7 linked regions of the Canis lupus familiaris genome follow. The protein of the gene in region 2 interacts with the protein of the main gene of each other region in a biochemical or structural test. Links are inferred from orthologs where the notes say so. Each region holds a gene or a part of one and is shown on either strand. Other genes may lie near its edges.

Region 1 (4,079 bases), on a different chromosome or scaffold from region 2:
GCTTTCGGACTGGTGGTGCTGCATGCATGTGGAGCACTTAGAGTAACAGCAAGACTCAACAGGCAGCCAGGGTCTGGTGTGGCTTGATAGCCGTGCTCTGAAAAAGCACCTCGGACTGAAATCAACATTGGAAATAGGTCAGATGCCCAACATTTTGGGGTGACACAAGACTGCCCAAAAGGAAAAGCAAATGTCTACAAACACAGACACTGAAAGGACCAAGCAGAAGGTGAACGCTGTCAGCACTTAAGACGCGCCAAATGTTAGTCACGAGAAGGCATGACCAGTGACATGTGAGTGATGGCACCTGGGGGCAGATGCTGGGGACCTCACGACCAGCACCTGCGACATCCCCAGCTCCTGTGCCGCCATGTCCCCTAATTCCAACGTGGCAAAACTGCCTTTGTTTAAACACAAATCGCTCAACGATTTCACAATCAGCAGTAATTCTAAATTCTGTAGTTAGAGACTGAGCAAGTTTTAGAGACCCCTTTAGAAACCACAGGTCAGAAGCCTCTTTACATTCCCAAGACTTTCAGAGTCAGCATGATACGCACGCAGCCAGAGGAAAAGTGACAACTTAGGTGTTTTGTGAGCACAGCCAATAAACCCGGGCTTTCCCCAAAAGACCCTCTGCTTCCACAATGACCCAGCCAGGCAACACCCGGAAAAGGCATACAGCACTCTATGTGCTTGCTACGGCAAAGCCACTCGGGACTCAGCTCCCTGATGGGATGTCACCACAGATGCCCCATTCACACCGACTCCGGGAGCCACTGCTGGAAACTCGGGAACAATGGGAGCTTTTTCCCTTGCAATACAATTTTTATCTACAGAACATTTACATAATTACATAATGAGAGCTCACAGATTCTCTATTCAAATTAATGGAATAACAAAGTAATACAGTTTTGATTCATAGGCACTCTCAAGGATCCCTCCACCCCTTGCCCCTCAATAACTCAGATAAAAGACATATCTGCTCAAGGCGAATTTCAATCTTGAGTTTGTTCAAAAGTCCTCAATCGCATGATTGTTCCGAGACAACGCGAAGCTACAAGACAACGCGAAGCTAGCAGCGCTGACACCAAGAAAAGTGAGCACAATGCGACGTCGAACCCAAAAGCGCGGGCGCAGAAGCGAATCAGCCCCCAAGCCCCCAAGCGTGAGATGCCGGTGACCCGAGAACGCGGTGCCCGTGCCGGGCCCCCCTACGGATGCGGAATTCAGGATGTCCCGGCATCCCCTGTGAGGAGGGGAGAGAGGCTGAGCTGTGTGGAAATGCGGCAAAGCAGCAACCCGGCCCCCCGCCCCCCGCCCGCGCCTGTGGCCCGTGAGCGTCGCCAGCGAGGACAGACAGTAGCGGGACAGCATCCCCGCTGGGGCTTAGCTCACCTGCTCACTCTCCTTCCTTTTCCTTGTCAACTAAAGTGGACACACGTGGTGTGCGCCCCTAGTTACTCCTCAGAGCTCACCTTGCCTGAGCCCCGCTTGGGCACACCCCTGTCACCGCCAAAGAAGCGCCCGAGGGAGTCAAGGATGCCCGTGTCTCTGTGCCTCGGGAGGAAGCCATGCCTGGCGTGATCCATGGCGCTTGCTGAGGCCAGGTACTTGGATCCGTGCCTCTGGGAGGGTCTTTTCTGTGACGCCATCACATCCAGGCCCTCGGGAGTGGCTGCGCTGTCCTCTTGGATGGTCTGGAGCTCGTCTGACTCCGAGGGCCTGTCTTTGAAGGTGTTGTCCTCCCTCCCCGGGGCATCTCGGGAAAAGAGGCGGATCAAGTGGGGGCGGCCCCCTGGGTCAGCTGGGTTGGCGTCCTGCCAGGCATTCTTTGGGTCTGCTGTGCGCTTGGAGTCTGTCACCGCTGTGTCCTGAGAGGGGGTCCCATTGTTCTGCTCCACATCTGCCTCCCCTGCAAACAACAGTGAGATATGAACACGGGCCGTGCAAAGCAGAGTGAGGGACAATGCGGCTTTCTTCCAGGGCTGGGGACCTGCTTGTGTCCTACCAAACCCACAGAATGCATGCGCGCCCGGGGCCGTCAAGCTACCTGGTAGCCCCAGATCACTCGTGGTGGGACCCAACCTGGACTGAGCGTCCTACTTGCAGGTCTTGTCTCGGGGAACCCCAGGGGCTGCCTCAGTTACTCGACACCTGGTGCCCTAGATAAAGCGTACCCCAGCTTCCTGCTGAGGAGGCCCAAGCAGACACAGCAGTCACCCCTGGGCGCCGCCGCTGCTGCTGCTGGGCGTGGAGGGGCCAGGGCTGCAGGCGCCTCTGTGGGACATCGAATCCCTCCAACTCCACTGGTGCACAAGCTAAGCGTGTTGGGAGCAGTGGTTTGATCAAAGGTATTTTCAGTGTTCTCGATAAAAATGGAACTTCCCACATCTTTTTGCAATTCATGCCCTAAAGAAATGGGGCATTTAGAATCCTTGAGTTTCCAGATTCCACAAGAGGCCTCTTGCATTAGAGAATTGCTTATTCAGGGTATTTTAATTTGGCTTTTCTTCTGCAAGCAGCCCCAGTTACAAAGTGTGAAGTGGGAATGGCGTATTCTGTGAGCCATATGACCTTCTCCCAGCTTTCACACATGTACGGGAAAATACCGCATTTCCTTCCAGAATGGCAACACACCCATTTTGCTCTCAAGTTACAAGTTAGGTTTGAGGGTATGTCCACCCTACTTCACTCCCCCCTTCATTACATATCTATAGAAAATGTGGGTTTACTCATGCTTTCCTCTAATATCATCCATCCATCCATCCATCCATCCACCCAACCAGCACCAATCTGTTCACTGACATTTACCAGCAACAGCACCCACTTGCCCATTTATCTGCTGAGCCACCTACCTACCAATCCAGCTACTGATCCAGTCACTGACCTGTCCACCCAGCTAACCCTCCACCCAGTCAGCTGCACATCTTTCCACCTACCCACCCAATCACCCATCCATCTGCCCGCCCACCCACCCAGCCCCCCAACCATCCATCCACCTGCCCAACTACCCACTCACCCAGCTGTCCAATCATCTATCCACCCACCCCCAGCCAACCACCCACCCAACAGCCCAACCATCCATCCACCCACCCAACCATCCACTCACACACCCAACCACCAACTCAGCCACCCATCCATCCACCTGGCCACCCATTCATTATTTATGGAGCACTTAATAACCATCATATACTGAGCTAAATGTTTGGGCTGCAGTGATGAAAAAGATGTGGTCCTTGTCTCATAAACATTAATGGAAATGAATATTAGGAAATGAAGTATCCCCCAAAAAGGCAGGTCCCCATCCTAAGTCTCAGTCCCTGTGAATGTAAACTTATTTGGAAATAGGATCTTTTGTGGATATAATCCAGGTAAGATGAGGTCGTCCTGGCTGAGGGTGGGCCTAACCAAGTGACTGGCTGGTGTCTGTATAAAAAGAGGGAGATACAAAAGGGATATAAAAAGATACAGACGCAGACACACAGGGAAGGGACCTTGGGATGGTGGCAGGGACGGGAGTGACGTGGGAACACCCGAAGGTAAGAGACAGGGCACAGGTCCTCCCCTAGAGCTGGTGGCGAGAGCACAGCCCTGCTGACACCTTGGTTTCAGATTCCCGGCCTCCAGACTTTGAGAGAAGAAATTCCTGTTGTTTTAAATCACCCAGGTTGTGGTACTTTGTTGTTGCAGCCACAGGACACAACTACTATGTATAATTTCCTATCAACCTGTGATAGAAAAGACAACAGAGCAGGATAAGGGGCTTCAGGGGCCCCTGAGGGATGGCGTGAGGGGTCAACGTACACACTGGGGCGGAGCTGAGGGCCTCTGCCAAGGGGTGGGCACCCAGCGCGGGTCTGGCAGGGAGAAGTAGAAAGGTCTGGAGCTGGAGGGCCTGGTGTGAAGGAGAGGCCAGTGTGAGGTCAGCAGCGGGGACAGGGGTGGGGGGAACGAGAGGCCAGGGAGGCCCAGGGGCCCGGTCAACATGGCACAGGCCTCAGAGCCCAGGAAGGGCGCCCAGGAGAGACCTGCAGGTGGGCCCAGGTGGGTGGGGCTGCAGGCCACGGGAGAGAGAGGTG
Region 2 (4,698 bases):
ATCATATTCCACAGCTCAAACTCACTTGTGCCTATTACCCATCAAAATTATACCCACTCTTAAATATCACTATTTAAATATTAACATTTCGGGAAGCCTGGGTGGTTCAGAGGTTGGGAACCTGCCATGGCTCAGGGTGTGACCCCGGGGTCCCAGGATCAAGTCCCACATCGGGCTCCTGCAGGGAAGCCTGCTTCTCTCTCTGCCTGTGTCTCTGCCTCTATGTCTGTGTCTCTCATGAATGAATAAAATATTTTTTAAAATAAATAAATATTAACATTTCATTCAAGAAGCCCTCCATAAACCCAGCATTCTTTTTTTTTTTTTTAATTTTTATTTATTTATGATAGTCACAGAGAGAGAGAGAGAGAGGCAGAGACACAGGCAGAGGAAGAAGCAGGCTCCATGCACCGGGAGCCCGATGTGGGATTCGATCCCGGGTCTCCAGGATCGCGCCCTGGGCCAAAGGCAGGTGCCAAACCGCTGCGCCACCCAGGGATCCCTAAACCCAGCATTCTTAATCAACACTTATTAAACACTAATGATGTGCAACATAAATTACATTCTTACTAAGGTAAGGATTAAAAACTATAATCTGGACCAAGGATTTTAATTCCAGTTGTACTTGTATTTGGATTTTAGGAAAGGAAGATTACTGTAAAAGTACTTGGCATCTTCCCTAATAAAGACTTGGAAGGTCAAATATGTCTACAGCAATGACAGAAATAGTTACCCTGGGATCCCTGGGTGGCGCAGTGGTTTGGCGCCTGCCTTTGGCCCAGGGCGCGATCCTGGAGACCCGGGATCGAATCCCACGTCAGGCTCCCGGTGCATGGAGCCTGCTTCTCCCTCTGCCTGTGTCTCTGCCTCTCTCTCTCTCTCTCTCTGTGTGACTGTCATAAATAAGTAAATAAAAATATTAAAAAAAAAAAGAAATAGTTACCCTATCTTACTTATCTTCAAACTAGTAATAATCTCATCGGGGGGAAAAAAAACTTTCAATTAAAGTAACCTAAACCTAAAAAAAAAAAAAAAAATTAAAAATTTAAAAATAAAAAAAAATAGTATCCTAAACCTAAAGTTTTTTCAGTCCATATGTTAGATGCTAAATTTTCAAAAAGAGCCATGGGACATGATGGACAATTCTGAACCTCTCATGACACATGCCTACTTACCAGCAGGTGTCATAGCAATCAGATGTTATGACAGAGAAGTGATGCTGTGGGCAGTACTTTCTAGGGCCTTATTTCTTTTAGACCTGACCTAGTTTAATTCTTCTTTTGGCTCCTAAACCTGAGTTCACGTTAATTTTCACAGTTGTATATGTGAAGCATTTTGCTCCTCAAGAGAATGAAAATAGTCAAGATTCAATTAGTCTTTTTAAAATTTAATTAGTCTAAAATACTTGTTAAAACAGGCCCTTTATGGCATTTCTAAAATCACAATCACTTAAATTTGAATACATTTTTAAAACAGATTTGCTTACAACAGTAAAATATACCAAACTCTAAAGCTACTAATAACACTATTTAAAGACAAAATATAACTGAAAGAGCTCCAGCAAATGAGAGAGGATCTCAGTCTATCATCTCAAGTCTGTCTCTTCTAGACGTAGGACTTGAAGAATTTGCTCCACCTCGAAATATTTTCTCCCCTGAAAGAGGGATATCACCACCTCGAAGGTGGCTGTTCATATAAAATGAGATAATATACCTAGTACAGTACCTGCCACCAAGTGTTCCGTAAATATGTTTGCTTCCTTCATTCAACTCAAAACACACAAGAAAGAGGTGTAAGGGAGCCCACGCTTCCGTAAGTCCTCATCAGCACAAAATAATACAGCTAATTCTAATAAAAAGAACCAAGAACGTTTCTGAGGGATATGATCAAGATAAGGGAGGCTGCACGTAGTCCTGCAAGAATTCCATTAAGGCTGCACATATACTGACCACTAAAACATCATTAACAGCTCAAGTCCACAACAATTCTGCTAAAACGTGTGAATACATTTACGCCAAGAGAGTTCACTAGGGGTAAAGAAAAAAGTGAAATTAAGCCCAACTCCAAATGACTAATAAATCAACCAAGAGAGCGGTGCAGGCTTATCCTTCTTGAAACGCATACAGTGTGGGTATTAAAATCCATTTTAAAACTTCAAGATTAAAATATTTCACAACCCACAGCGGTGCCACTGATGCTTTTTACGGACAGCCTGCGCGGGGCACCGTTAGCACGACCGAAAATATTTAATGAAAGCCGTTCGCGGAATACCGGGGAGGGGAGAAGATTATTTCAGGTTCTGCACACAAGACCGCGGCCAACACCACCACCGACGAGCATCCGATGGAATTCCTGGCTCTACAGTCGGGATGTCAAGAGGAAGGCCAAGATGCTAGCATCATGGGGGCCGGGGGCGGGGGCCCGGGGACCACTTCCGTTCCCCTCCCGGGGGTCCCGGCTCTAAAACCCGCGCCGCGCCCGGATCCCCGGGTCCCCGGACACTGGCCTCCGCCCCCCGAGCCCCTCCCCTCGGCGAGCGGAGGCCGGCCCGCGAAGCGCAGTGAGCAACACCCAAACCTCCAGCGGCCCCCGGGCCCCGCCCGAGGCCCCCGGCGCCCACTCCGCGCGGAAGCCACGGGCTGGGGGCGCGGCGGCGCGGGAGGCCGGGACGCAGACGAGGCCGCGGCTGCGTCCGCCGCGTCTCCGGGCGGCGGGTGGGCGGGCGTGGCGCGGCCTGCGGACAGGCGCCGACACTCACCACACCATGCCGTAGGCGCCCTCGCCGATGTAGGAGAGGTTGGTGTAGCGCGGCCCCACGTCGAACACCTGCCCGCGGACCATCTCCGGGCCCGCGCCCGCCGCCGCCGCCGCCGCCATGTTGGCTGCCGGGCCGCCGCCGCCGCCGCCGCGAAAGGCTCGACGCTCCGCGGCCGCCGCTCGGCCCACGCCGCGCCTCCCGGGGGGACTGCGCCGCTGCGGGTGCAGCTGCCGACGCTGATCGGAAAGGAGCAAGGAGGGCAGCGCTCAGGACCGCGGGAGAGACTACGGCCGCTCGGACCGACTGCCTGCCTGCCTGACTGACGGGCGGGCCGGCGGGCGGCGGGAGGGGCGCGCGCCGAGGAGGGCGCCGGGGCGGGGCCAAGGAGCGTGCGCGCGGATTGGTTCCCCGCCGCCTGGGGGCGGGGCTGCGCGGGCCGGCGGAAGCGGCAGGTCGGGGCGGGGCACTGCGGCGGCGGCGGCGGCGGAGTCACCGCCCTGCCTGGTCACGTGCGCCCGCGGGGGTGTTGGCGCGGGATGCGGGCTCCGAGACGCAGAAGGACGGCAGGGCGTCGGGACGGGGATGGGGGCCGCGGGCCTGAGAAACTTTCCGGGCGAGGCGAGCCCCGGAGCGGGGCGCTGACTGGGCCGGGGCACGACCTGGGGCCGCGCGTGCGGCATGCCGACGCTCCGCACACCTCCGCGGGCCCGCGCGACCCCGTGGCCCACGCACACACCGAGGCCTCCAGACGCGGCCAGGAAAATGAAAGGCAGGACCGAGACCACGGAAGATATTTGCATACTGAGAAAGTGTGAAACACAAAGCCTCCAGCGAGAGGCTCAGGATCCGCTAATCAGACACCTTCCTTCCACCAGTGTTTGGTGAGCAGCTGCATTGTTCCTGGGCATCCACATTCTAGAGTGAGGAGATAACCCGGTGGGTAGATGAGACAGGAAGGAAGAGAGGTAAAGAATACTCAAGTAGTGGGACCCCGGGATGGCTCGGTGGTTGAGCGTCTGCCCTTGGCCCAGGGCGTGACCCCGGGGTCCTGGGATCGAGTCCCGCACCGGGCTCCCTGCATGGAGCCTGCTTCTCTCTTGCCTGTGTCTCTGCCTCTCTCTCTGTGTCTCTCATGAATAAATGAATAAAATCTTAAGTGCCAGGAAGAAATACAAAGCCGACTGAGGGGTTGGGGTTAGTGGAGAAAGACAGAGTCAGAGACTGAGACCCACGTCAGTACAGGTAGACAATCTTAGGACATAAAAAACAAATGCAAAGATGGAAACACCAAAACCAAAACGTTAAGATCTAGAGAAAATGAGACAAACACACCGAGGCCCTGAAGTACTCACAAACGCCAGAGGTTGAAAATTTAAAATCAGAATCCTAAAGCAGGTGAATACCAGGAATAGCTAAGACAAATGAGACAGGAGTGCTAACAGCCACTGCTTCTGAGCATTTCCCAGGCCATCTTTGGAGGGGAAGTAAGGATGCAAGATCCTACATCCCAGTTCTCCAACACTGTGATCTTGAAAGCCCTCAACTCTGGACTTCTAGACGTCAGCAAAGTTTAGTCAATCTCAGAGGTGAATAAGCAAATATTTAAAAACCTGCTAGCAGGACGTCTGGGTGGTTCAGTGGTGGAGCCGCTGCCTTTGGCTCAGGGTGCGATCCTGGAGACCGGGGATTGAGTCCCGCACAGAGCCTGCTTCTCCTCCCTCTGCCTATGTCTCTGCCTCTCATTGGGTCTCTCATGAATGAATAAATACAATCTTTAAAAATTAAAAAAAAAAAAACCTGCTAGGAAAAAAAAAATACGTGGCATGGGAAATAAGACAAAGTTCTAGAGGCAAAAAATTCTCCTTTGAAATATATTTAGTCCACCAAGCAGAATCCAGTTTTAGAGGACACCTAATTTTTATTCTTTAAGATTTTATTTA
Region 3 (4,726 bases), on a different chromosome or scaffold from region 2:
TCCGTATCCATGGGCTGCCTCACTCTTAGATTATTGCAACTGTCTCCCCGCTGACTGCCCAGCTGCCAGCCTCTTTCCTGCTCCAATCCATCCTACACACTTTCTTATCTGTGTTCATGCTTCAACTTGCACCCACAGGTTGGATGGGAATCTTCCTCTCCAGAGCCTGACCTCAAACATCATTTCCACAGGTCACTCCTTCCCTGAATGAGTACTTGCAGAGGCACCTCACTACTATTCTGAACATGTTCCCAGATGCCATGGGCCCTCAGAAAACTGTGTCTGAATGAATGAATGAATGAATGAATGAATGAATGAATGAATGAATTCCTCTACCTGGGACCACACTCAAGATTCTCCTTCATCCCCTCCCCAACACCCTTCAATTTTCTCATTTCTTCTTGTTCTTCAACATGCTCCTTCCACTTCCAGCAACAACGTTCAGCTTCCTGCCACCACCAACCCCAACACAAAACCCCACCTCTCCATTCCCCTACTCTCCCTCAAACCAGTCTCCCTTTTTTCTAGGCATTTTTCCAATGAGTGACTTCGAATCTCAGCTCCAAATCCACTTATCTGTGAGGTTTTTCTCTTCCTCATTCATCTGACCAATGCCTGTTCCTTGATTCATTCAACAAAGAGTTAGGAAGCACCATCTAGGCACCAGGTCCCATATGGCTTCTAGGGGTTTAGAGCGAATACACAGCCCACGCTGTCAAGTTCTCAGCTGGGTCAGAGACAATCCACTGTAGGCTCTGCACTCTAGGCAGAGGGTGCTCCTGGAGCCCCGACACCACGGTTGAGGTCTGCTAAGCAAGAAAAGGCAGCTCATTCCCTTCCCTGGTCTGTCTCCCATTGGTGTTCCAGGGCACCGCATCAAAACACTTTTGTGGGTCTTCCCCTCCAGACTGTTCTGAAATCTTTTTTTTTTTTTTTTTTTTTTTTTTGCTGTAAGATGTCTTACAGACCATAAGCTCTTTGAGGCACAACAAAACCCTATAAGCTTTACTACCCTCTCTCCAGTATTCTTCCCCCTATCCACCCACACACGGTATACTAGAGTGCTCAGTATTAATGGTGAACAATTGAAAAGCTCAGACTTTGCATATCTTCTGTTTCCCCTCCAGCTCCAGGCTTAGCTTGGGTCCCTTCACAGTCACACTCCCACATGGGCTGGAGCCTCCTCCCCAGCCCCCAGACGCTTTCCTTTATCAATTCAGACTACCCATACCCTATGTTTTCCAAACACAGTAGCCACCAAGTAATTACTACTAATACTAACAATACAAATCTAACATTTATTGTTTTCTATTTGCTATACCTTATTCGTCTACTAGACTGTAGACTCCATGGGGGCAGAGATTTTGCTTGCTACTGTAATCCCACTTAAAATAATGTCTAGCACAGACCCAGCATTTAATAAGTTGAATACTTAATACATAGTTGACCCTTGAACAATGCAGGTGTTAGGAGCACCAGCCCGCCCCACTTAGTGAAAAGTCTACATATAATTTTTGACTCCTCTAAAACATAACTACAAATACCCTACTGTTGACTGGATGTCTTACCAATAGCATAAACAATGGATTAGCACACATTTTGCATGTTATGTGTATCGTATGCTGTATTCTTACAATAAAGAAGGCTGGAGAAATGAAAATGTTATTAAGAAAATCAGGGATCCCTGGGTGGCGCAGCAGTTTGGCGCCTGCCTTTGGCCCAGGGCGCGATCCTGGAGACCCGGGATCGAATCCCACATCAGGCTCCCTGCATGGAGCCTGCTTCTCCCTCTGCCTGTGTCTCTGCCTCTCTCTCTCTCTCTGTATGACTATCATAAATAAATAATAATAAAAAATGTTTAAAAAAAAAAAGAAAATCATAAAAATAAAATATACTTATAATACTGTATGTAGTGGGAAAAAACCTGCATATAAGTGGAACGGCATGGTTCAAACCCATGTTGTTCAAAGGTCAACTGTCTCTCAATCTATTTCATCTTCGAAATGACATTATGAGGTTGTGATTATTACCTACATTTTAGAAATAAAGAAGCTAAGACGTGGAAGCCACCCAGGTTCAGGTGGCTAGTCTGTGAGGGAGCTAGGATTTGAATCCAAGGGATCTACCCCCAAAAGAGAGAAGAGAAGTAAAGTAAGCCCAGGCCACTGGATGGGGGCAGAGGGAGCCTGGGAGAAGTACAGTCTTGAGAGAAGTCAAGAGACAGGGGGCTGGGGAGACAGGAGGTGGGACAGTGAAAAGAACAGTGAGACCCAGATGGAGACAGGTGCTGCCTGGGGAATCAGAGTCTAGAAATGTGGACTCAGCAGAGAAGAGAGGGAGGAACCAGGGAAAAAAGTCTCAAAAGAGACTCATGGAGAAACCGACAGAAAAGGAGTGAATGCTTAGGAGAGACAGGACAAGATCCAGAGGAGAGGAGAGTGCGGGGAGGACGTGGGCCAGGGAAGGGCAAGGACCCCGAAGAAACGGGCCAGTGCAGGCCAGGAACATCCACCCAGGTAGGGGGAGAGAGGAACCCAGGGTATGGCACAGGAGATCAAGGAAGCATTGAAACAAGGCTGAGGCATAAGAAAGGGACATTTTCCAGTGACGAAAACAACTTTCTACTAACTTCCCTAAACCCAGCTGTAAAAGAAGAAACCAAGAGATTGTTGTCCAGGCCTGAGGGGAGGGGGCTGGAAGGGCCAGGACCCAGGGGGCACAGGGCCAGGACCAGGTGGAGGTGGTGCTGGCTGCTAGAGAGGGTCCCCAGTCCAACACAGGCCACCCATCTAAAAGCTGAGCCAGAGGCACAGTGTGGGGAGCGCCTCCAGGTGGGCGTCCTGGCTCTCCACGGGGTTGCCCTGCCCCTGTCCAGTTCCCACCGGACACCCAAATACCCGCCTCCACACAGACACACAGACGCAGCATCCCAAACTTACCCACCAATCCATCTCTGCTCCCGGCCTCAGTTTCCCCCTTTCCCTAGCATCCAGCTCCTCCCCTCCGCCGGGGTCCGCGCTGGCCAGCGGATGGAGGACACCACTCCGAACCATCTGGCCTCCGAGAGGCAGAGGGCTGGCCGGCCTTCCCGCACTCCTTCCCTCACTCTCCCGAATCGGCCCCACCCCTCCCTCAGCGAGCACCTGCCCCCACATTCCCAGCCAATCCCTAGCCCCAGCTGACTTCCTTGGCTGGCCTTGGCTGGCCTTTCACCCTCTCCCTTGCCTCCGACTCAGGGCCGCCGGCCGACTGGGGAACCCCAGCTCCCGGCCGCGCTGGAAGTGGGGCCACGCCGGCCCGAGGTCCGGACGGGCGGCGAGGGCCCACTCCTGCGGGGCGGCGCCCTCTCCACCCGCCCCTACCCCGCACCCCCAGCCCTCGTCCCGTCCCGGGGCTCACCAGTGGCAGCAGCAGGCCAGGCACGGTGGGGAGGCCCATGTCCGGCCAGCCGTGGCCTCTCACTCCCCCATCGGGGCTCAGGCAGGGGCGGCGGCGGGGTCCGGGATGCGCGGGCCCGGCGGGTCCCAAGAGGAGCCCGGGCGGCGGGCAGGGGAGCCCGGGTGCGGACTGGAGAGACGGTCCCGGGACCTCCAACCCCAAAGGCCAGAGCTGGAGGCTGAGTCCCGAGAACTGGGAGAAAATTAAAGCAGAGAGCAGAGAGAAGGTGGGAGGGAAGGGAGAGAGTGGCAGATGGGGTGTCGCAACTGCGGGACAGGAAGAGCCTGGGGGAGGAGGAGGGAGGAGGCGGGGGAGGGGGGGCGAAGGGCTGTAACCCTTTGGAGCTCAGTCGGAGGCGCCTGCAGCCCTGGCTCTGGCGGCAGCCTGGGGCCCCCAGCCCAGCAATCCGACCCCTCCAGCCCCGACCGGAGGAGCGAACAGCCCCCCACCCCACCCACCCAAGACCTTTCCCACGTGACCAGCAGTAGACTGGCTCAGGGCTTTGGAATCTAATTCACTGGGTTCCAGTTCAGAATCCTCTACTTTTTTAGCTGTCTGGTCCTGGACCAACGACCTACAGACAGCCTGTGAGTCTGTTTTTCAGTTTCCCAGTTGGAGAGAACCTAGCTCGTGGGGTGGCTGTGAAGATTTCCTGAGACAGGTGTCTGACCTGTGACAGGCACTCAGCGGTCCGTAGTAAGTCCTCCCTTTGCTCCAGAGTTCTCCACTGACACCCTAATCTCCCACTCTCTTGGGTATTTATCCCTCCAACCCAGACTCAAAGTAAACGCTAACCCTGGCTTTCTGCCCTGACTGGGGCCCTGACACCCTCCCACCAGTCTGGTGCTCATCTACTCTGCCTGGCCAGGGCCCCCAGCTGCTGATGCTGGCTCTGCCACAAAAAGTTGAGGGACTTTCGGCAAAACCTCCACCAAGCCTCATTTATTTATTTATTTTTAAGATTTTATTTATTTATTCATGAGAGACACAGAGAGAGAGGCAGAGGGAGAAGCAGGCTCTCTACCTGGAGCCTGATGTGGGACTCGATCCCAGGACCCCAGGATCACGACCTGAACCAAAGGCAGAAGTTCAACGACTGCGTCACCCAGGTGCCCCACCAAGCCTCATTTATTAGGTGAGGGTAACATTGCCTGGCCCACCTACATGGGGAAGATGATGTCATAAGGATTAATGAGATCATATCTGTGAAAATGCTTTGGAAATTACAGCTATCTGGATCACGTTACTAGTACATTCTGTGCCCCTTTACCAGATATTCCGATATATC
Region 4 (4,079 bases), on a different chromosome or scaffold from region 2:
ATGCAGTTGATTTGATAGAAGGTTGAATAAAACAACACTTAGTGTCCCTACTGACGAGGATTTGCTCAATCACTTTCCACAGGAAGGGTAAGCTGGTGCCACATTTCAGGAGGGAAGTCTGGCAGGAGACCCCAGATTTGAAAGCCCATTGACCCTCTGACCCAGCAATCCACACTTGGAAATTCATCCTATATGTGTACATCCTATACGTGTACAAAGGAATGCAAAGTTACATCTTTCTAAATTACAGATTTTAAGATAATATAAAATGATATATTTCCACTGTAGAACTGTCTGTTATAGCAAAAACTGGAAAGCACCATAAATGTCCGAGGGTTAAATGACCAGAGATACAGCTATACAACGGGATACTGAACGCTCCTTGCAAAGACCAAGGTGTTCTTTAGAGGCATTAATGTGGAGAGGTGCCCAGGACACGTTGTTAAATGCAAAAAGCAAATTGCCGAAGAACACAGAAAGCAACATCCCATTAGGGGGTGCATTAATGACCATACTAAATATTCATCCATCTAAAGAAAAAATTCTGTAAGAATATAACTGACACTATCAGTAAGTTATTTGGAAGTGGCAGGAATTCCAGGAGACTCACTGTTTTAGACATTTCTGTATTGCTCAATTATCTTTGCTTTTTTTAAAATCCTGCTGGAATTTTTAAAAAAGACTTTATTTATTTGACAGAAAAAAAAAGTATAAGCATAGTAGTATGCAGAGGGAGAAGGAGAAGCAGGCTCCCCACTGAGCAAGGAGCCCGACATGGGGCTTGATCCCAGGATCCTGGGATCATGACCTGGGCCTAAGGCAGACACCTTACCGACTGAGCCACTTAAGTGCCCCAATGTTGTTCAATTTCATTAAATATTTTGCAGTAGTCAGAATCAGAAAAATAAACCCGTAATTTGAAGTTCACTCCAGTTCCGAGGGAAACTTGTGAACAAGGTCTTCAAACATCTGTGGGCTCAAATCTCATCTCTCCCACTACTCTGTATGACCGTGTGAGCTGTAAGCCTCAGTTCCCCCATCTGTAAAATGGGGAAGCCAGCGGACCCTGCCTCACAGTGAAATTAAGCAAGAAAGAAGGCAATGTAGAGAGCTACACAGAACTGGGTTCTAAGGTGGGCCTGATGAATGTGAATGCCTTCCGTTCCTGCCTAGGCTCCTGGCTGGGCCTGTAAGGATGCGGGGGTGGCTGGAAGTCTAGCATCTAAGGCAGCACTCAGGGCATACCTGGGGTCCTGGTCAAAGGTAAACTGTGTTCCTTGACCATGGTGTACATCCCAATCCACGATAAGGACCCTGTGAGGATGACAGAGGTGGGGTACTATGTAAGAGGATCAAGGTGCATCTGGCGGAAGGGCCCAGACCAGGATACCCTACCCTGTGCCACCCCCACCACCCCCGCCCCCCTGCTTGCTGCTGACCTCTCAATGTTATGCTTCTGTTGAGCGTAGCGGGCAGCCACGGCCACATGGTTGAACATGCAATACCCATCCATAAGGCTGTGCTGGGCGTGGTGTCCAGGAGGCCTGGGCAGGACAGGGAAGGCCACAGATTGGGGGTGGGGGTCCTCCTCTACAGAGGCAGACTCTCCCCTGTGTTCCAATTCTAGACCACCAACTCCTCTGGTTACAAATCTGTCAGGAACTGAGTACCTGGGGCCCCCAGACCTTCACCCCATCTACTGCTCTCTACCCAAAGGAAATTGCATAATGTTCGTTAAAGTTATCAACGTGTAATGCTCCCTCTGGCAGCACATATACTAAAATGTAGGCAGAGGGAGAGGGAGAGGATTAGCATGGCCACTGTGCAAGGGTGACGCAAAAATTTGTAAAGTGTTCCATGTTTTTTTTCACTATATTGTACACCTGAAACTAATGTAACACTGCATGTTAACTATACTGGAATTAAAATTTTTAAAATAAGTAAAATAAAAGTGATCAGTGCACACACCCTCACAGCCATTCTGTTCCCGGGGACTTAGCCCACAGCCCACAAAATATAAAGGGTGAAATAACAATGTTTCTAAATGGATAATGGTATTTGCTGTGACATGTTTTGGAAACAGCAAATGACTGGGGAGAACCAAAACGCCCATTTCTAGGGGGCTGGTTAACTTCCTGTGCATTTGCACAGTGTCGTTCTACGCAGATCTAAGGCATGCACTGTTCGAGAAAAGCTTTCCAAGACATAGAAGTGAAAAATGCATGGTACGGAAGGGAGCATATTGAGTGCTACCACCTTTTGTGGCTAAAAAAAGGGGGAGGAGAAAGGCTGTATCTTCTGCATTTCATCAATTTTGGGATGCCAACAACGTGAAGATGTATAGTGATTTCACATGCCAACAACAAAACAGAAAACACTGCTAAATGAATTCTAAGACGCCACTGTTTGCAAGATGAGTCTGGTTTTCAAGATGGTAAAATACAGATTTCAGCATTGATAAAATATGGCATTTACTCCACGAATAAACACAGAATGTTTCTGGGTGCACACATGAGTCATTGGTTACAATGGCTACCTCCAGGAGAGAAAGCAGGTCTCTGAGGGATGAGGGTAGGAGATTTTTTGGTATCCCCTCTTGTATCTTTTGACTCTTGAACCATATGAATATACCACCCATACCAATACATTTTACATTCGAGAGAAGGAATTTTTTAAAATATAAAACAGCCAAATGCCGGTGGGTCCTACCTGACAATGGCCATGCCATTCCGGATCTCGTTCCTCAGGACTGCATCCACCAGCCTAAGGACAGAGCCTGAGGCCAGGCAGGCACAAGTATAGGAGTTCTGAAAAGACAGTGGGGATCCAGAGAGGGAGTAAGGGAGAGAGCAGCCCTGTCCACTCCACTACTCCTCCCCAGGATGTGGTGGGCATGGGGATGGGAAACCCTAGGATTGCCACCACCCTCTGCTCTTACAGTTCTTATCCATACCGGATGCAGATAAACTGAGTCATAGGTGTCAGCTAGGATGCGGAGCTCTCCCTCATTCATATACTGGGTCGTCTCCATCAGATCAATGTATTCTAGGCTGGGGACACAGACAGGAGATGAGATTCAAGGATTTGCCTCCCTCCTGGGCCTGAGTCAGGGCTGTCCCTTCTGAGCCCTGGTCAAGACAGGCCCCCTCAACTGTCAATCTGAGGGATCAGCTGGGATACAGGACATGTTTCCTGATTCTTCCCCAGCCAGCCTCATTTCCAGTAATATCCCTTGCTCTCTGCTCTAGCCAGAATAAATCCTACCCCCAGGCCATTGGCCACACTGTTGTAGCTGTCTGTACCTCCCTTCCCTCAGCTTTCCTCTTCATCTGACTCACTCTTTCTCAGCTCAGACAGCCCCTCTGCCAAGCTAGTTCTCCTTGAATCACATCACACCAGGGCCCTCACTCTGGGTTCCTACAGCCCATGGAGGAACCTCCAATCACTCTCCACATGTCCATCCTCTGTTTACACACTAGGTTGTAATACCAACAGCCTATTGTGGGCTGATGACATGGCAGACACCACTCTAAGCACTCAACACATCTCGGAGCCTCCTGAGGAACTTCTGTTTACAAGTTCCCGTGTGATAGGCGAGGACGCTCAGATTCAGAGACTCAGCAACTTGCTCAAGGCCACAAGGCCTAGGACATTCCTTCCCAGAGAATGCGGCCTGCCCTGGTTGGCCCAGGGTGGCCTCCTCCCCACCGCTACAAGGCCCTGAAGCCTTCACCTGTGAACCAACATCAGCTCCTCCTTTTCAGCAAACCGAGCCTGGAGAGACACAAGGAATAAAGGGTTAAGGCATTGGCCGCACCCAGGCTCTGCCAGCTCCTGCCCACCACCCAGGGTGTCGGCTGAGGGACTCACCTGAAAGGACACGCAGCGGTCCAGGAGGCCATCCTGGATCAGTTGTTCCTTGATGGCATGGAGCCGCTCAGGGCCCTCAGGAAAGCTGGGTTGACAAGACATACAGTTACACACCCACACACACACAGACTCTCTCTTCCCCCTCTAAAATGCAATCTTCCCAGAGGCAGGGGTTCTGTTTGTTTTGTCTACCACGGCATCCCTAGCTC
Region 5 (4,079 bases), on a different chromosome or scaffold from region 2:
CAATAAGAGGCAAACAGCATGACTTCTGAAACAAAGAACACTAATATAGGTCTTGTGTTTTCTTAAGTTAAATAAGGGGTACGGGTTGCCCACAAATAATCCTTTGTGATCAAAAAGCAAGTGCTTCACTGGCTATTGTGAGCCCATCTAGCACACGTGACAGAGCAGGGAACAAAGCTTTACCTTAGGGAACCATGAATAACTTGGATAAGTAGCCTAGATCCCTAAGGGCAACTGGGGAATACAAAAATGGCTGATATTGCTGCTCCTTTACAGTTTTTTAGAGATTTCCAAGACTGACTCTCCAGCTGAGTCGCAACCCAGTAACTTCCACTGTCCAGCTGCTAACAAGTGAGGGCTCACAGCACAAAGACAGGACTAAGGGGATCTTAATCTGGATGCTTCTGTCACCCTGTCTCCAGCTTCTTCCCTGCAGCTGTAACACCGACTCTGCTTTACTTGCAGCCAGGAATGAAGACAAAGAGCATCCTGCGAGACCAAATCCAGTAAATTTCTGCAAATGAGCTGGTGAGAATATCACCAGCACCCTATGGCAACAACACTACTGCATAGCTATGGGTGATACTCTACTTTTCCCACAAGTGCCTTTTCCCACCCCTGGCAGCTTTCTCTCTTCCACATTTCCTTTATTTGGCTTGTGCCTTATTCCTTCACAGCCAGGGACAGAGTGTAAACTCAAGCAAAAATCTTCCAGTTTTTCATTTTTGGGCCTACCCTGGGTTTGCCACTGCTCAAAAGCTTCTGGAACTGTCTCTTCATCACTAACCTGGTTCACCAAACCCGATGGGTCTGGGAGACAGTGGGATGAATAAGAAATCATCAGATGATATTTAGTTTGATTTTTAAACTAGTCTGTATTCTCAATGCCCTGCCTCATCCTAAACAGTTTTGGATGGAAAAACAAAATGCTGCAGAATAAAAGGCTCAAAAAAAAAAAAAAAAAAAAAGAAGTAATAAATAAATAAAAGATAGCACTATCAAGTATGTACCTCTTTTCAATTTTTTAGGACATACCCAGCACTGTTGTCAAATTCACATTTACTTAAAAACATCTCAAGTGGCCTAATAAACAGGCTTGCCCGCGCATTTCCCTTCTTGAAATGTTAATCAGTGTTAAGTACATCTTTGTGTAGAGTATGCTCCTTGAGGTCTACTAGCAAGAAATTTGGCACTAATTATTTTTTTTTTTGTGAGATGCTTGCTTACTAACCTATAATCTGAAAAATATAATGCCCTAATTAATCATTTATTTTGATAAACATTACACCATCAGTTAAGTCTAAAAAAGGAAGATAATTGTTTTTGTCTTTGCTAAGTTAAACAAGCAGATGGTCTCCAGTACTTCTGCTGCATTTCCTTTGTTGCTAAAGTATATGTTTCTTGGGATTACATCACCACTTAAATGAATTTGATTAAGTGTGGGGGGTGGGGTGTGATCCCTCAGGAAGTATCTTTTCTGAGATTGCACTTACAACAGGGCTTTTTCCATTTTCGGCAAATGTGTGCAACACATTATTTTTCTCTTTCTTTTATCAAGAGCAAAGACTGTAACAATTATGCCACTCCCAGAAGGATGCAGCTGTTTCAAAACCCTTCAAAATAGAAAATAAAATATATTCAAGCATCTATGCCTGGCAAATAAAATAGGACATTTGCTTCCTTGACTACGAGGTCTCCCTTCAGCCACAGCAGTATCTTGCAACCAAGAGCAGAGCACCAGGTACTAGAGCTGAAGAGCTCTCGGGTAGGCAGGTGTACCCAGCTCCCACTGATGCTTGCAGAGGCAGCAGCACCATCTACCTGACTGGAAAATCACTGAACATTTCAACCTACCTGGCATCTGGAAAGGGCTTCCTGGGTCTGAGCTGGTGGGCGAGTGCGGGTAGGTACCACTGCTGCTTCCAGGAGAGTTGGGGTAGCTGCTACTAGGGGAGTGAGGGAATGGATGGCTGTTGGGTTGCTGGAAAGAATCTGGAAAAGTGGCGTTGAGCGGCATGTGAGGCTCGTTTTGTCCTAAGTTACGGAACTGAGCTAACAGGCTGTGCTGAGGATTATATTCGCTGTGTCTTGGAACCAGCACTGGAGGAAGAACTGGAAAAAGGGAAAGAAAAGAGAAAGACAAACATGAAAATGATGAAAATCTGTAATAACGTCACAGTAGAGCAGAAACATAATCTGTAAGTAACAATAAATTATCTGAACCCTGCCCTGCTGCCAGCTCAAAAGCATCATTCAGATGCAAAGCCATTTTCTACTCAGGAATAAATGCGGTAACAAATAGTCTCTTTAGAATTGCTGTGACTTGTGCTCGAGATCTGTAGCACTAACAAACTGCCCAAGAAAAGTGCAGGACACTTGTTATGTTCAAAATGTTAAGGTTCCCGCTTCTGAATTTTTTCATTCACTGAAAACCAAAGCACAATTAACATATGCCACCATCAACAGTACCACGTTTACAGCCCCCGTTGAAAAGACGTTACATTCATTCATTCATTCATTTATTTATTTATTTATTTATTTATTTATTTGTCATGAGGGAGAAGAGAGAGAGGCAGAGACACAGGCAGAGAGAGAAGCAGGCTCTATGCAGTGAGCCTGACATGGGACTCGATCCTGGGTCTCCAGGATCAGGCCCTGGGCTGAAGGCAGCGCTAAACCGCTGAGCCACCAGGGCTGCCTGAAAAGACGTTACATTTAAAGAGTTAATATTTATTGAATGGTATGAATTATTCATCACAAATGTTTTAAATTGACACTTTACAACAAAAGGAGGCCCAGTATACTAACAAGGAGAGGATAAATACAGCCAGCAGCAAAAAATCCAAATGCCAATAAAGGTAGTTAATTAGACAAAATACAACATCTTGGGGACAGACTTTATGTTGTGTCCAAGTAGTCATACTTCACAAAAAATTTTTTCTCTGAGGATATTAATGCATTTAACCCACTTCTCAGTAACCCTCAGAACTACCTGACAGGGAAAGGAAGAAACGGGTCATACAATTCACATTTTGCTAACTGGATACTCAAGGTATAAAGGTCAAAAACATCCACACCACTGGAGAATGAAAGAAAGCAGCTCAAGTCACTCCTAAAAAGCTCTGTATGTTAGGAACCTAAGGAGTTAATAATTAGCATGGTTTGCAACCTCCAGAAACCTCTAGAGGCAAAGCCACTATAAGTTATGATGCTTATTAAAGTGAAGGCCTGGCTAAGAAGCCCTAACTGGGTTAGATCCTCAACTCCCCACTACAGTCTCCAAACGGACTCCCCAGGAAGGAAGGCCGTCAGAATCCCTACTACTCTCATGGCCTTGGCTAGAAAAACCACCCATTTGGAAATCTGCACGAGGAAAAAGGAGGAGATTTAAAATCTGCTATTGTTGTTGGGAGTTAGAATATATTCTCTCGAGAGGATGTGGAGAAAAGGGAACCCTCTTACACTGTTGGTGGGAATGTGAACTGGTGCAGCCACTCTGTTAAACTGTGTGGAGGTTCCTCAAAGAGTTAAAAATAGACCTGCCCTATGACCCAGCAATTGCACTGTTGGGGATTTACCCCAAAGATTCAGATGCAATGAAACGCCGAGACACCTGCACCCCGATGTTTATAGCAGCAATGTCCACAATAGCCAAACTGTGGAAGGAGCCTCGGTGTCCATCGAAAGATGAATGGACAAAGAAGGTGTGGTTTATGTATACAATGGAATATTACTCAGCCATTAGAAATGACAAATACCCACCATTTGCTTCAATGTGGATGGAACTGGAAGGTATTATGCTGAGTGAAGTAAGTCAATCGGAGAAGGACAAACATTATATGTTCTCATTCATTTGGGGAATATAAATAATAGTGAAAGGGAATATAAGGGAAGGGAGAAGAAATGTGTGGGAAATATCAGAAAGGGAGACAGAACATGAAGACTCCTAACTCTGGGAAACGAACTAGGGGTGATGGAAGGGGAGGAGGGCGGGGGGTGGGGATGAATGGGTGACGGGCACTGAGGGGGCACTTGACGGGATGAGCACTGGGTGTTATTCTGTATGTTGGTAAACTGAA
Region 6 (4,079 bases), on a different chromosome or scaffold from region 2:
GCTAATTCAATGTATACATCATATGGCCTTCTGTTACCAAACAGAATCACATTTACAAAGTATTTCACAAACAGAGCTTCGTCACTAAGATTAAGAACATGATACTATAAACAGTTTGATCAAAAACTCAGGCTAGAAGGGAAGTTTGTGCTTTTGAAGTTAGAAATTGCCAGTGGCCTCCACGGGTTCCCAGGACTACTAGATCATTAGGCTTGAGCCTCTATTGGCTAATTCCATTAAACCACAATTGCCAGGGGCTTTCTTTGACGATGAAAGGCCCTTGGCTGGAATGTTATTTGTTAGACTGGAAACTGTAATCATTTCCAGAAGAGGGCCCAGAGGCAGCCTTGCCCTAAACCAACCGAGCAACATCAAAAAATGGTCTTGCCAGGCCCATTATGAGTGAGGGATGTAATGAGGCGCCTCCGGCAACTCCTAGCACCCGCATGACAGCTGCTGTGTGTTCCCATTCTGGATCTGGCCCTTATTCCTCTCAGATGGGCTCTTTCAGCAAGGACCAGTTAAACTGGACTACACTGAACCAGTTAAGTGGATTTTGTGGGGGACACAGTAGGACCTAATTTCACAGAATTCCTATTCTCCTGCCCCAGTCCTCTCAACACCTGGCCTGCCTCCCTATCGGCAGCTTCTCCACAGTTAACTTAGGAGATATGGGAGAGATTCCAGGGATCAGAGGATTTCAAAAGCTCATACCTTTGCATCATCCAACAGAGGGCTTCCTGGCTCGGAGTCGATGGAGTAGGGGGAGAAACCAGCCTGGGACCCTGAGTCAGAGGCCGGAGGGGACATCAGAAGGATATTCTGATTGAAGTCTTCAATCTTTAGCTCCACATCATTGTCCACCAGGCTGCCTAGGTCGATGCCCTTCAGGAGCTCTGCAAAGAAAACCACATCTGGCAAACAGTCTGTTTGTAAAGAGCCCCCGCCTGGGTGCCTGGACCAGGGCTGAGCTGGGTAAGGGGCACATGGTCCTTGCTTCTGCTTCACCCCCAAAGGTACCTTGTACACAGCATCCGTGGGCTCTCCCCAGTGCCTAGCATAGAACTTCTACAACCAGAAGGCCTGATAACCCTTCTCTCAATGAGCACACACTCACTGTTTTTCTGATTTGCCAGCTTCAGCACCATGTTCTCCTGGCGTAGTTTATGATTGACTTGCTGCAAGTACTTGATGTAGTCAATGGCCTTCCTCAGAACACCAGACTTGTGCATCTGGGAAGGAAGCCAGGTAAAAACACAGTGGCATCACTGCAGGTGGCACAATGAGAGTGGGGAGGCCAGAGCTCATGGGGTGAAAGCATGGCTCCGGACTGAGATGCTGGGCTCAATCACTGGTTAGCTGTGCTACCCAGGACAAGTTACTCAGCATCTCTGAACCTCCTTAAAATGAGGATAATGATGATACATGAATCATGAACTTGTAGTGAGGGTAAAATGAGATAATACATGTACAGAGAGTAGCCCCCGATCTGGTACATAGTGACAATAAATAAATATTGTCACTCCTCTTTTCTTTTTTCTTTTTTCTTTTCTTTCTTTCTTTCTTTCTTTCTTTCTTTCTTTCTTTCTTTCTTTCTTTCTTTCTTTCTATTATTATTATTATTTTTTTTTTTTTTAATTTATGATAGTCACACAGAGAGAGAGAGAGAGAGAGAGAGGCAGAGACATAGGTAGAGGGAGAAGCAGGCTCCCGGTGGAGCCCGACGTGGGATTCAATCCCGGATCTCCAGGATTGCGCCCTGGGCCAAAGGCAGGCGCCAAACCGCTGCACCACCCAGGGATCCCTCTTTTTTTTTTTTTTTTTTTTTAAGATTTATTTATTTATTCAAGAGACACACACACACACACACACACACAGACACACACAGACACACACAGAGGCAGAGACACAGGCAGAGGGAGAAGCAGGCTCCATGCAGGGAGCCCGATGTGGGACTCAATCCTAGGACCCCAGGATCACGGCCTGAGCTGAAGACAGATGCCCAACCGCTGAGCCACCCAGGAGTCCCTAGTACTCCTCTTTCTTATAATAATCCTAGAACCAAAACAAACTTTAAAGAAAACAACTGACAAAAAACCGGAGCACTGTTGGATAGCCATCTTAAGTTATGTTAGCACATTTCAGATCTATAGGCTATGAGGAAAATCAAATTTTCTTTTAAAATAGAGATGATAGGGCAGCCCCGGTGGCTCAGCGGTTTAGCGCTTGGGGTGTGATCTTGGAGACCTGGGATCGAGTCCCACGTTGGGTTCCCTGCATGGAGCCTACTTCTCTCTCTCTCTCTGCCATGAATAAATAAATAAAATCTTTAATAAAATTTATAAATAAAATAAAATAAAATAAGAGATGATGAAGATAAATAGGTAAAACACAAAAACAAATAAACTATGTGACAGAAGACACATTCACTGAAAAACTCAAAATAATGAACAATCTATTCCCTCTATTTGCTGTTGGTTAAAGACCTGATCTCCATTTTCTTTCTTCCCTGCAAGGTAAAAATATTGCTAACCACCCATGAACACAATTAAACATATGCCAGCAACACCACCAGCTGATTCCAAGGTACATACAATCTGCACCTGACTGCCAGTGAGCAGTAGGCAGCCCTCCACCTGGGGTCCTGGGATCCATCATCACCACAGAGCAGAGTCAAAGGTCCAGCCAGGTTGCTACCTTCCCAAACCCAACAGTTCCCTTATGTTGGTTAATATTGTATAATCTTGAAAAAACCCCAAGATGCTACAGAAAGAAAGCACCTCTAACCATCCTTACATTCACTCACTTGGACCTGGGTTTTCCTAAATTCCTAAGGCAAAGATAGGTAGATGGGGAGATGATGGCCCATGAAATACCGTAATGCTTGGCACCCACCTTGGCATCTGTCCCCATGACCAGGTCCTTCAACTCAATGATTTTGTCATTAATAGAGGAACGATACCGCTTCTCAATGATGTTGTGTGTCGTCCGCCTCTCTCCTTCTTTGGGGGGCTCCAGCTGCTTGACTCCCCCAGGCACCTGCTTGATGGGCACTTTCTCTTGCCCCATCATCACAGGCATTGTGGTCAAAATGGTTCCATTGCTGCCCACAAGAGTCTAGAACAGGCACAGACACAGAGCAGAATTAGCCCATGGTTAGTCTGAATGAAGCAATCCCAGAACACAAACCTGCAGCCTTGGCCATGTGGCCTTGCCCGGTCTGATGCCCTTCTTGGCTGGATTAACTCAGGCCCCAAGAAACCTCAGGAGCCACAGTATCTGAGTTACTAAGCCCCATTCAGAACCGCTGTCAACAAATCACACCACAATAGGATTAATGTGGGTAAATATATTTTAACCTTTGGTCTCAGGGTACTTGAAAGATTATGATTTCTGCTTTGGTGTCAAACCATTTAGCCACCTCTGAGCTCGCATAAAATGTACCATATCATTCTGGCTCCAAGGCAGTTTCTCCTGGTGTAGGATACATCTCTTCCTCTCACATGACGGTAAAACCACTTGCTGCCTTTCCTTATATAATTTGGCCATCAACAAGCACAAGAGCAGAACCGATAGAGCCATTCTACTGAGTAAACAGGCCAACTGTAGAGGCTCCTCTTTCCTCAACTCTGCTTTCCCCTCTCTGTTTCTATTTTTTACTCATTTTAGCTTTATTTTCAAAAAATGGCTTCAATATCCAAATGGCTAACGAACAAATAAAAAACCACCCAACTTCATTAATCACTAAGAAATAATTCTCACATAATAAAAAAATACACATTTTAAGTATATAGCTTGATACATTTTTACATAGGGATATAATGTATGTAACCAAGATAACCCAGACCAAGACACAGACGATTCCTATCCCCTTAGAAAGTTCTCTTGTGCCTCTTTCCAGTTCTGTCTGCCCCTTCCCCCTCTGTGATCACTGCTCTGACCTCTATCACCACAGCTTAGTTTGGCCTCTTTTAAAACTTCATATAAATGCAATCATCAGCATGAACTCTTTTGTGATAGGCATCTTTTGCCCAACATACTATTTTTGAGGTTCAGCAGTCATATGTATCAATAGTTCT
Region 7 (4,562 bases), on a different chromosome or scaffold from region 2:
GGCCTAGACAATCTCTGTTCAATCTCTTCTATCCTTTTTTTCAGGGGCTTAGAGAACTACAAGGCCTGCAGAATTTCCCGGAGACACCTCACTATTGACTTCTTCCCGCCTCCGTAGACATTAAAGAGCCTGAATGCCTTTGAGTCACATGGCCCTTCTTTCCCCACCTCAACCCTTTGCTGTTTGCTAAGGTGCCCTGTTTCTAAAGCACAAAGTTACCAGGAACCCCAGAGAGCCAGTCTCTATGTGGAACCTTTAAAGCACCCCTGAAGTCCCGCCTCCAGCCTGTTGCCTGGCAGCATTTGCCACTTGACTTTCTGCACTGCCCTCTTTTCTGTCGCCTTGGAAACCTGGGCCTCCCACCTGACCCTTTTATCTTCCTGGACGTAACTGTCTTAATCATAGAGAATGGGCTGATTCAGGGTGGAGGTTTGTTCCCAAGACAATCAGCCTTTCATTCCTGGCCCTAAAGTTTGCCCCTCTCCCCCACCCTAATCATTACTGGGGTACCTTAGATTACACCCACGCCCGTCTCATTCCAACCTTGGCCTCACCCGGCTTCTAACTAATTTCAGCTTCCACCAATGGGCGCAGAGCCTGATCCCGCCCTACCCCGGCCGGCCCCTATTTTAGGTTGAGTCTAGCTTCCGCCAATCATTGCAGAGCCAGGTTCCGCCCCCTTATAACTGGCTGAGGCTCAACGCTGACCTCCTCGTAGGCTTTAGTTTCCGCCACTCAACGCTCCTTTGCGTGCCTGGCCGCTGTCCAACCCTATCTCTGCTCTGTCCTAAACTCGTCTTTTCTACCCAATCACGATAGAGTTATCCTCCCACCTACGCACAGTCCTGGCCCGACCCCCTCCCAGCCTGCCGCTACGCCCACTTCCATATAAGTCCCGCTTCCGCTGAGCAGCGTGGAGTGCAGCACCGCCCAGTTGGTGTTTTGGCAGCTGTCTGGAGTCCCTAGTCCGCCAATCAGTAGAAAGCAGAGTCCATCCGCCCCTATCCTCGGAGGCCGTCTTCCATGCAGGCCAATTATTATCAGGCAGGCGCCCCCAGAATCTTGTCAATCGCCCACAGGCTGTCAGCCTTGGGCCAATCAGCGTGAAGCGCCAGCGGGGCCCAGCACGCCCCCTCGGAACCCAGGCGGCTATCTGCGTTCCATCAGTTCTCCTCGGGCCAATCATGGCCTAGCTCTGCGGGGCAGGGCCCGCCTCCCCAACCCTGGAAGCCGCGCGGTCGAGCCAAGGCGCTGTGTCCAATCAACCAGCCGCGGAATGCTCGGCTCCTCCTCCAGGGGCCCACGTGAGCCGTGAGGAAACGCAGGGGCGGCTTCTAGGTGCCGCCGCCGCCGCCGCCGCCACCGCCGCCACCGCCGCCACCGCCACCTCGGAGCCCGGGCCTGGGGGGCGGTGGGGCTGCGCATGGAGCCCCCGCCCCCCGGAGCTGCCAATACTGCCACTGCGCTACACACAGGTGAGCCCGGGGCCTGGAGGGTGGAGGGCCCGTCCGTGACCCCACGTATCCTTCCCGCCCCCGCGCGAGGGATGTGGCTTGGCCCATGGCCTGCTGGTGTTCAACTGCCCACCGCCACCGCCACGGCTGGTGGACCTGCCTGTGGTATTGTCCCCTCCCTTCGCCCCTTGTAGTCGATCTGACCGTGGCCTGACCCCCCTTCCTGTTTTATAATGGATCGGTCTGCGTGCTTATAGTTCTCCCCACCCCACCTTACAGTGGACTCGTCCGTGGTCCTGCCCCGCCCCCACCCCCACTTAGAGGGGAGCAGCCTCGGGCATTGTCCCTCCTTGACAGAAGGTGCATCTGACTGTTTATTTTCTCCTGTCCTCAACTTTCAAGGGCCCCGTCTGTGGCCTTGTAGTTCTGTTCCTTGTAGTGAATCAGTCCATGGCGTGTTGCACCCCCCCCGCACCCCCTTTAACAGTGAGTTAATCTGTGAAGTTGTATTCCTGCCTCCTCCAGTCCCCCAGTGCATCAGTCCCATGGTTTTATCTTTTACAGTGTATCGGTCTGAATGCTAGTATCCACATCCCTTGTCGTTATCAGCCCATTGCCCTAGCCTCTTTTTTTTTTTTTTTTTTCAGACTGTTTCTCCAGCCCTTGGGCTTCTCTCTTCCTTTTAATAGTGGGTCAGTTTCGTGTTTTTGAACTCCCCATTTTCAGTAGCTCATTCCATGGCCTTGTTCCCTTCTCCTTTTAATGAGTCCGTGTGATGGCATTTCACCCCATCTACTCTTGTGCAGAGTAGATGCCTTTCTGCTCCCCTTGCCCCCCATAAAGAAGATGAGCCTTTGCACTCCCCTCCACCCCCGCCTTTGCAGTGGATCTGTTCATTGGCCTTCTTGTTCCCCATGTGCTTGCATCCAGGCACACACCCCCATACCCTCCCCTGAGTCCAGTGCTTTGTAATCTCTTCTCCAGGAGGGTGCTTTTATTTTGTCCCTCCTTTCCTTGTGGTGGATCAGTCCATGGCCTTCCCTGCTTCCTCTCTTCTTAATGGTGGATCATCCTGTGTGCTTGTTGAACCTGGCTCTTTTTTACTCTAGAACACATCCCCCTCGTACACATCATTAATCCCTAAGACATTCTGCCTCACTGCAATAAACGGATGCATTCAAGATAGCGATAATGCCATTAGGAGCTAACGTTTATTGAGCACCTACTAGGTACCTGGCAAAGTGCTTTATATCCATGACCTCATTTCGTCCTCACCACAATCCTGTGAGACAGGTACTCAGGAAAGTTCGGCACAAGGGGCTCAATACGTTATTCAGAGGTAAGTACCCAGTTAGGTTGCCCCTCAGAACACAGAATAATTTTTGAGGATCCCCTTTCTCACTTCATCCCATGCCACATGAGACCCCACTCCTTAAAAAACAAAGCACCTCCCGTCTCCAAGCTTTTGTTTTTGCTAGTTTCCCCCCCGCCTGCAGAGCTGTCTCCATTCCACACTTTTTCTCAGCACCCATCCACCCGCAATCGCAGCAGCCATATGATCTGAGTGATTTAACCACTTTCTCTCCGCACCTGCTTCCTCATTTGTAAAATGGAGGCATCAAAACCAGAATCCCCTCCAGTGTGAACATATCTGAGAGTTAATAAGACAAGTAACCTCTCTGGCTGCACCTCCTGCACCTTGTCCCTCCGACTCTGTTCCAGCCATACAAAGCTCCTCACTCATCCTCAAATCAAACACGCCAGATACAGCCCAGCCTGAGGGCCTGTGCATTGGCTATATTTTCTACCTGGAATAACGTCGTTCCCCTGATCTGTATGTGAGTCCTTTCAGAGCTCTATTCAAATGTCAGCCTGCCCCTGATCATCTGAACCTACATACTTAACAGGACTCAGGTTCCTTCTCTGCAGTAGTGGTCCCCTTTGCCCTTCATCACTATCAGACACACTGTGTAGTTTACCAGTTCACTGTCCCTCCCCATTAGAACAGTCAGTCCAATGAGGGTTTAGTTTTTTTGTCTGCTTATTTACTGCTGGGTAAATATACTTAGTATATACTAGGTGCTCAATAAGAATTTGTTGCATGCATGAAGGTGAAAAATATTATTTCAGACAAATCAGGGTGCAAGGGGAGGGAAGGGTTGGAGATGAAGAGGGTATACGAAAACTAGCTAAAGAAACTAGTTGGGACTGTTCGTTCAGCAAACACTTAGCACCTACTGAGTACCAGGCACTCTTCTAGGTGCTGGGGATATGGGAAGGAACAGAACAGGCAGAAATTCCTGCCCTTGTGGAGCAGACGTTTGCTAAAAGTGGGGGAGACGGACTATATAAATAAAACAGTAAGTAAAATTAGATAGTATGTTAGGCGCTAAGGAGGAAAGTGAAGTCGGGAAGACAGGGAGAGAGTACGGGAGTGATTGAAATCTTGGGCACTGGGCAGGCCTCACTTAGAAGGTGACCCTTGAGTTAAGGCCTGAAGGAGATCAGGGAGGAAGACAAAATATCTAGGGGAAGAGTGTTCTGGAGGTGGAAGGAACAGCCAGTGCAAAGGCCCTGAGGTGGGACTGTGCCTAGTGCATTCAAGAAACGTGAAGGAGGCCAGTGTGGCTGGAGCAGAGCAGAGGGCGGGAGGGAGGCAGGCAGGCAGGCAGGCAAGCAAGCAGGAGGCAAGGTCAGAGCGGTGATGGGACCCAGATGGTATAGGCCATGGTGATACATAAGGTTGGAGGCTGGTGGGAGGGTGAAGGCTGATAGACAAGCTAAGAGCTAACTAACATTTGTCGAGTGCCTACCACATGCCAGAGATACTTTTCTAAGTCCTTTATATATATTGACACTAGATCCTCGCAAAAGCCATTAAGAATAGTATATTTTGAAGATATTTTACAGATGCAGAAACAGACCCAGAGAGGTTGAGTAACTTGCTCAAGGTTGCACAGCTAGAACAAGGCAGAGGAGTGGGAGACCAAAGGCCCAGAGAGAACAGATCTGCAAGAGCAGACAGTTTATTCAGCACACAGATCACACAGAGGAAGGATTCATTCTGTCTAGAAGATAGCAGAATTTGATGATTATAGAATAAAGAGT

Evidence for each region.
Region 1: of the proteins of MAPK1 (region 2) and MBP, one has a biochemical effect on the other in vitro, tested with the Homo sapiens proteins (16 studies listed by BioGRID and IntAct). The link is inferred for Canis lupus familiaris from reciprocal best matches to the Homo sapiens genes MAPK1 and MBP.
Region 3: the proteins of MAPK1 (region 2) and TNFRSF1A form a complex in vitro, tested with the Homo sapiens proteins (2 studies listed by BioGRID, with this or other methods). The link is inferred for Canis lupus familiaris from reciprocal best matches to the Homo sapiens genes MAPK1 and TNFRSF1A.
Region 4: the proteins of MAPK1 (region 2) and HDAC6 form a complex in vitro, tested with the Homo sapiens proteins (2 studies listed by BioGRID). The link is inferred for Canis lupus familiaris from reciprocal best matches to the Homo sapiens genes MAPK1 and HDAC6.
Region 5: of the proteins of MAPK1 (region 2) and SMAD1, one has a biochemical effect on the other in vitro, tested with the Homo sapiens proteins (3 studies listed by BioGRID). The link is inferred for Canis lupus familiaris from reciprocal best matches to the Homo sapiens genes MAPK1 and SMAD1.
Region 6: of the proteins of MAPK1 (region 2) and SREBF2, one has a biochemical effect on the other in vitro, tested with the Homo sapiens proteins (2 studies listed by BioGRID). The link is inferred for Canis lupus familiaris from reciprocal best matches to the Homo sapiens genes MAPK1 and SREBF2.
Region 7: of the proteins of MAPK1 (region 2) and ELK1, one has a biochemical effect on the other in vitro, tested with the Homo sapiens proteins (16 studies listed by BioGRID and IntAct, with this or other methods). The link is inferred for Canis lupus familiaris from reciprocal best matches to the Homo sapiens genes MAPK1 and ELK1.

Annotation. Positions count from the first base shown.
Region 1 is NC_049222.1:2,889,805-2,893,883, reverse strand, and holds part of MBP (myelin basic protein), read right to left. Parts: intron 1,913-4,079; coding exon 1,476-1,912; intron 1-1,475. UniProt on the Homo sapiens protein: The classic group of MBP isoforms (isoform 4-isoform 14) are with PLP the most abundant protein components of the myelin membrane in the CNS. They have a role in both its formation and stabilization.
Region 2 is NC_049247.1:31,299,566-31,304,263, forward strand, and holds the start of MAPK1 (mitogen-activated protein kinase 1), read right to left. Parts: upstream 3,062-4,698; 5' UTR 2,878-3,061; coding exon 2,759-2,877; intron 1-2,758. UniProt on the Homo sapiens protein: Serine/threonine kinase which acts as an essential component of the MAP kinase signal transduction pathway. MAPK1/ERK2 and MAPK3/ERK1 are the 2 MAPKs which play an important role in the MAPK/ERK cascade.
Region 3 is NC_049248.1:7,447,672-7,452,397, forward strand, and holds the start of TNFRSF1A (tumor necrosis factor receptor superfamily member 1A), read right to left. Parts: upstream 3,112-4,726; 5' UTR 3,054-3,111; coding exon 2,940-3,053; intron 1-2,939.
Region 4 is NC_049260.1:42,212,089-42,216,167, reverse strand, and holds part of HDAC6 (histone deacetylase 6), read right to left. Parts: intron 3,956-4,079; coding exon 3,871-3,955; intron 3,775-3,870; coding exon 3,734-3,774; intron 3,051-3,733; coding exon 2,939-3,050; intron 2,808-2,938; coding exon 2,710-2,807; intron 1,866-2,709; exon of another isoform or gene 1,754-1,865; intron 1,545-1,753; coding exon 1,440-1,544; intron 1,315-1,439; coding exon 1,246-1,314; intron 1-1,245.
Region 5 is NC_049236.1:44,445,222-44,449,300, reverse strand, and holds part of SMAD1 (mothers against decapentaplegic homolog 1), read right to left. Parts: intron 2,113-4,079; coding exon 1,855-2,112; intron 1-1,854. UniProt on the Homo sapiens protein: Transcriptional modulator that plays a role in various cellular processes, including embryonic development, cell differentiation, and tissue homeostasis.
Region 6 is NC_049231.1:24,437,506-24,441,584, forward strand, and holds part of SREBF2 (sterol regulatory element-binding protein 2), read right to left. Parts: intron 3,118-4,079; coding exon 2,896-3,117; intron 1,233-2,895; coding exon 1,118-1,232; intron 897-1,117; coding exon 715-896; intron 1-714.
Region 7 is NC_049260.1:41,469,819-41,474,380, reverse strand, and holds the start of ELK1 (ETS domain-containing protein Elk-1), read left to right. Parts: upstream 1-1,325; 5' UTR 1,326-1,475; intron 1,476-4,562. Other genes in the region: protein UXT, read left to right, coding at 45-98. UniProt on the Homo sapiens protein: Transcription factor that binds to purine-rich DNA sequences. Forms a ternary complex with SRF and the ETS and SRF motifs of the serum response element (SRE) on the promoter region of immediate early genes such as FOS and IER2.